Linked DNA regions of Caenorhabditis elegans. The protein of the gene in region 1 interacts with the protein of each later gene in a pairwise test. Each region holds a gene or a part of one and is shown in the gene's direction. Other genes may lie near its edges.

Region 1 (3,372 bases):
TGAGATGGTTCTTCAAGAAGTTCTACTTGAAACAGCTGCAAAATCATTGGATAAGAGAATGGCTAGCTTGGAGAAACACAAGGTTCCAAGTGAAGATGAGGAGATTGAATGGGATCCTCAACGATACGATAAGCCATCAACATCTTCTGCTCCTGCTCTCATGGAAGATTATATTCATTTGAACTATAGTGATGAGGATGATAAGACGCCTGAATTATATCGTGATCTTCAAGAATTTCTTACAAATGCAGGCATTCCGTGGATCGAATCGCCTGGTGAAGCGGAAGCTCAATGTGTTGAGCTGGAGAGACTTGGATTAGTTGATGGTGTCGTTAGTGATGATAGTGATGTGTGGGCGTTTGGAGCACAACATGTATATCGTCATATGTTTTCTAAGAATCGGAGAGTACAACGATATGGAGAGCAGACAACAGCGAATAGAGATAATTGCAAACTTTTTTGTAAGATTTATGGCAAACATTAGAATATTTCCTGAATTCTAAAAATCTAGGTCTCCAACGTGAGGACTACATTTCAATTGCTCTGCTCTCTGGGGGTGATTATTGTGCAGGACTTGTAAAAGTTGGAGCCATTGGTGCACTTGAACTGGTGTCCGAGTATGTTGAATGTAGGATTGATAATACAAATGATCTTAAAGTCATTGAGAACAGGGTAAGATAATTACACATGTGATGGAGTCCCTTATGAAAAGTTTCAGATCATGAGGCTCCTTAAAAACGTGGAAAGTTTGTTCTTAACTGCTCCGGATGATAAACGAGTTGCTAGTCGAAATGCAATGATGTTGAGAAGACATGTAACTGAAGCAAACGATATGGAGAATATCAAATGTGTACTTATTTTTAGATTTTTGAAAACAAAACAACATACTGAAACTCATGTTTCTCTTAAATTCCTAATAGTTCAATTCAATTTCAGGTGTGCTCTAATCAAGACGCTGTGCATGCCTACCTTCATCCCATCGTTGATTCATCATCAGAAAAACTTCGATGGCGCCAGATGAATATTCCATTGATCCGTCGAATTCTTCATCAACGCCTTCAATGGCCTGATCGCAAACAGCACAACGAAGAGCAGAATTCATTTGACGCTTTCGAAAAATGGAATAATTTTCTAAAATCCGGTGGACAAAGCCAAATGCGATTAGACCGATTTTTCGCACAGAAATTGGATAGTTCTCTCGAACTAAAATGGTCGAAAAAAATTGTCGAGGCGCTGGACAAAATTGGACAACGTGTAGCGGGAACTATGAAAAACAATGAAATGTCAAAAGAAAAGAAAGTTGATAAACAAATCAAGAAGAGCAAAACAGCTGTGAAACGTGTAACTCGTGCCAGAGGAATAGGTCGCGGGAAAGGAGGAGCACTTCTTGTACCAGCTAATAGTAAACTGAATCTATCTGAGGAAAGCAGTTCTAATGATTCTTTTGATGAATTTTAGTTTTTAGCTAATTTATCTATTGAAAATAAATAAAAATGTTGCATTTTACACCAATTTCTTTTATTACGTTGAAGTTATTCTGTCAATTTGTGAATATTTTATTGATATTAATATTTAATACAAAATAATGAATTTAGCCTTCTCTTACAATTGAGCACAAAATGTGCAATGTTCTAATGTGTTCTATTTTATGTTCTATTTATAATATATTTATTGTATAATTAAATATAAATATTGTGCGCTGCAAGTGCGCCCCTTTGAACTAGTGTTCTGTTGGCATTTTCCATGCGTCGAATTTCTCTCCTTTTCACGTTTTCTCTCTATTAATAGAATAATTATAATTTTGTATTGCTTCTTATCCAATTCGAATAAATTTGTAAAAATATTTCAACTTTTCAGCCAAGATCATGCTCAAATTTGTCATAGTTTCATCAATTCTTGTGGCCCTAGGTCTGTCAATCGAATTGACATTCGAACTTCCAGACAACGCAAATCAGTGTTTTTATGAAGATCTGAAAAAGGATGTTGACACAGTGTTTGAATTCCAAGTTAGTATTTCAATTGAAAATCGTAGAAACTGTAATAATTTGATAATTTCAGGTTGTTACTGGAGGCCATTATGACGTAGACTTGATCATTGAGGATCCAAATGGAAAAGTTTTGTATAAAGATACTAAAAAGCAGTACGACAGTATCAACTTCAAGGCCGAAGTTGAAGGAACATACAAAGCATGCTTTTCAAATGAATTCTCCACATTCTCTCATAAAATCGTTTACATGGATTGGCAATTCGGTGATCAAAATGCTCTTCATGCTGCCGTTACTCAAGGAGCTCATGCAATGACTCAATTAGAAAATTATGCAGTCGCTATTGGAGATAAATTGAGAACAGTAAGATTTTTATTTAAAAAGATTTATTTTTACAATTAGAAAATGCTCAAAACGTAACTTTTTCGAATTTTATGAATTCGTTCATTTTTCCAACTCTATTTTGCTGGGAGCTTACTAAAAAAGTTGTTCACCCGACATTTGACATACTTATAAACTTTTTTGTAGATTGATGACTATCAAACTCATCATCGTCTCCGTGAAGCAACTGGTCGCAAACGTGCAGAAGAACTCAACGAGCGCGTGATGATCTGGTCCCTTGGTCAATCTGCCGTCGTAGTATTCATTGGAATTGGCCAAGTTTTCCTGCTCAAATCATTTTTCAATGATAAAAGAACTCGTTATTAATTTTTTCACACCATTGCTCTTTTTTTTGTAATTAGCAGCCTTCTCATTTTAATGGGTCCCGTCAGTTGTTTTGCCCCTTTTCCTCCCTTTGATACATAGCATAAGAATATAATTTATTGATTTATAACTGAGTTTCATAACATAAAAACCCGAAGCAATTTTATGCAATTGAGAATTATTCAGGAATGTCTCCGTTGAGAACTGACTGATATTCCTGGAGTCTCCGAAGAAGTGCGTCATTTTGATTAAGAAGAGTTTGGATTCCGTTTACGAGCGTCTTGCGTTTTTCACGGTTTCGCTTAGCCTGAAAGTTGATTGAACTGAATCGAAAACTTATTCAAAGTACAAAATAAAATTATGACACACCTGATTTTCGGGAGTAGTTTCAGTGATAATATTCATCCCATCAAGAGTTTCCAGATGTCTTTCCGCCTCTTCGTTGAAATATTTCACTTTCTTTTCCAGCTTTTTCCCCATCTCGACCTGCTTTGGTTTTTCGAGAAAACCACGTTCCAAATCAGCGACATCTCTCAAATTGAGATCATAGGCTTTTTGAAGATTGCTCAAATTATGCTTCTCATATTGCATGAGCATTTTGAAGCCCGCGTCATCAACCAAAGCATTTTTTCCACCCATCACAATGATTTTATCATTTTCTTTAAAATTTAAAGTAGAAAG
Region 2 (3,038 bases), 3.1 Mb from region 1:
GACTGCTGAAGTTTACTTTAAATGAAAAAATAATTTTCAGGCACAATTGATTGGAGGATATTATCCATTCCTTTGGTACGCAACGGCTAGTTATCCATTGCATGTGGCTGTATTTCTCTCAATAAACTCAATAATTGAAACAATCATCGATTTACCTTGGGATCTATATTCCACTTTTATTATCGAAGATGCCCATGGATTCAATAAACAAACTATTGGATTCTATTTCGTTGACAAAATTAAGAAAATGCTCGTCGGATTTGCTCTCACTATGCCAATCGTTTATGGAATTGAATGGATTATTGTCAATGGTGGACCATACTTCTTTGTCTATATTTGGTTATTTGTTTCTGTTGTTGTGCTACTTTTGATGACCATTTATCCAACTTTCATCGCTCCACTCTTCGACAAATATTTCCCATTGCCTGATGGAGATCTCAAGACGAAAATTGAACAATTAGCTGCTTCTCTCAGTTATCCATTAACTGAACTTTACGTTGTCAATGGCTCAAAACGCTCGGCTCACTCCAATGCTTACATGTATGGATTCTGGAAGAACAAGCGCATTGTGCTCTATGATACTTTGCTAAGTGGAGCTGAAAAGGAGAAAGTACATGAATTGTATGTGGCAGCTGGAGAGAAAATCGAAGAAACTGAAAACGACAAAAAGAGAGGAATGAACAACGATGAAGTTGTGGCCGTTCTGGGCCATGAATTGGGTCATTGGGCTTTATGGCACACTTTGATCAATCTTGTCATCAGTAAGTTGATTTAACTGAACTCACAGCAAAACGTAGAATTTTTCAGCTGAAGTCAACTTGTTCTTCTCTTTTGCAGTTTTTGGATACTTTTATAAATGGGAAGCCCTCTATCAAGTAATTATATTTAAACCATTAAATTCTTAAAATTTTAATTTTCAGGGATTCGGCTATCACGATACTCCACCAGTCATTGGCATGATGCTCATCTTCCAATTTGTCCTCGCTCTCTACAATCAACTCGCTAGTATTGGAATGGTTATTCACTCCCGTTCTGCTGAATTTGGAGCTGACGAGTTTGCTGCTAACCTCGGACACGGAGAAAATCTTATTGGAGCTTTGACCAAGCTTGGTGTTGACAATCTGTCGATGCCTATCAATGACTCACTCTACTCATGGTGCACTCACACACATCCTCCAGTTGTTGAAAGAGTAGCTGCTGTTAGAGCCTTCCAGGCAAAGAATAAATAAATTCCCATGTTTTACTACTTGTTTCTTGAATGCCAAAGTATTTTATATAATTTAATTTATGATTGTAATGTGATATTATTGCATTTTTTGAACTTAAATTTCGTTAATATTCTCTATAGTAAATAAATTTTTTTAAACAAAAACTGGAAATACAATTAAATTCCAAGGAAAATTTTAAAACGGAACGAGACTGATCTCTCGGTCTCTCATTCGCACAAACTGTCTCATAGAAGGGTCTCGCCGCGACTCAAATACAGTACCCGCGGAGAACAAAAAAAATGTTTTCTAGAATGTTCGCTTTATTGTTGTTTTGTTTTGTTAATTCCCGGGAATTTCCAGAAGTTTGCTTTCTTCTGCGAAACAATTCATATCATCATTTTGTTTTTATTAAGATCTCCGTTTTCATTCTTCTTTTCTCTCTCGCATGCTTTTTTCCTATCAAATGAACTGAAATTTTAAAGAAATGCCGTACGACTTCTACACCGACGGTTCCGCTCTCGGAAACGGCCAACAAGGCTCCAGAGGAGGCTATGGAGTTCACGTTCCAAGTGGTACGGTTTTTTGTGCAATTAATTGTTCCTTATTTGAACATATTTCAGATACATCGAAGAATGTGAGTGGCTCTTATCCACACGGACCACAAACCAACAATCGATATGAGCTGGAAGCCATCAAGCACGCCACCCAAATGGTAATTTTCAAACATTCGTACCAACATTCAATTTTCTGCATTTTCAGGCTCGTGATGTTCCAGACAGCCACGTGAGAATCCACACTGATTCCAAGAACGCGAAGGATTCTGTCACCAAATGGAATGACAACTGGAAGTCGAATGGCTACAAAACTTCTTCGGGACAAGATGTGAAGAATCAGGATCTCATCAGAGATATCGACCGCAATGTTCAAGCGCTCAAGCATAGTGGAAAGGTAAGATTATAATTATTATATATAATTCATAAAACACCGCTTTTTAATGGAAATAATTAAAAATTACAGACTGTCGAGTTCGAGCATGTCCGCGGACATAGCAATAGAATGTACATTTGAGTACCCAAGCCCTCTATTTTTCCCGCATCTTTCCTTTTTGAATAAAAGCAATAAAGATGAATAGTGGATAAACTTTCTTGGATTGAAGGAATATGCTCCGAAACACTGGGAAAGCTTCTTGAAAATATCAAGAATCGCGAGTACGGTAGCTGATATAGTGTATCTCATTTCAAGTCCTGGTCTCGAAGAGAAGTGATTTTTGCGCCAAAACTACGACATCCGAAAAAAACAAGAAAAATCTATGAAAATTCCGGAGCAACGAAAGTTTGAAACTACAGTACTCGTTAAAGGCGCACACCTCTTTGCCTTGAACAAAAATGTGTCGTGTTGAGACCAGGCACTGTACCGTTGGCGTAAAAATCGCAAAATTTCGGTTAATACGATCTTCAAAAATATTCAAACATTTTTTTTTTAATTGAATGAATGTTTGACAACTTTTGTGAAATCACAGCTCACTCGCTCTATTCAACGTATTTGCTCGCACCCAAACAGTTTGTGTGATCCGAAATGTTTTTTTTATAGAGCAGATTGCTCTTTTCGCAGTGAGCATTGCTTGCATTGCACCGCGAGCAGGCCAAAAACATCAGTCTATTTTCTCTTTTCAAATACATTTCGCACATTCGTTTTGTGTGTTACGACCCTCATTCATCTCCTGTCAACAATTGTGACAAAATTATGAGAAGAACACACAGAAAAATATTATATTCTGTATCTATTTCAGAAAAATAAGGGACGCTTTTACTAGGAAAAGAGTGTCAGATT

Evidence for each region.
Region 2: the proteins of tmed-3 (region 1) and rnh-1.3 interact in a two-hybrid assay, tested with the Caenorhabditis elegans proteins (one large-scale study listed by BioGRID).

The regions. Positions count from the first base shown.
Region 1 is NC_003279.8:6,560,842-6,564,213, forward strand, and holds tmed-3 (GOLD domain-containing protein), read left to right. Parts: upstream 1-1,857; 5' UTR 1,858-1,865; coding exon 1,866-2,006; intron 2,007-2,058; coding exon 2,059-2,349; intron 2,350-2,514; coding exon 2,515-2,694; 3' UTR 2,695-2,819; downstream 2,820-3,372. Other genes in the region: xpg-1 (XPG (Xeroderma Pigmentosum group G) DNA repair gene homolog), read left to right, coding at 1-461, 512-672, 719-850, 937-1,458; bag-1 (BAG family molecular chaperone regulator 1), read right to left, coding at 2,870-2,998, 3,061-3,372.
Region 2 is NC_003279.8:9,709,398-9,712,435, reverse strand, and holds rnh-1.3 (RNase H type-1 domain-containing protein), read left to right. Parts: upstream 1-1,690; 5' UTR 1,691-1,692; coding exon 1,693-1,780; intron 1,781-1,828; coding exon 1,829-1,920; intron 1,921-1,967; coding exon 1,968-2,156; intron 2,157-2,225; coding exon 2,226-2,276; 3' UTR 2,277-2,348; downstream 2,349-3,038. Other genes in the region: fce-1 (CAAX prenyl protease 1 homolog), read left to right, coding at 41-761, 808-875, 921-1,229.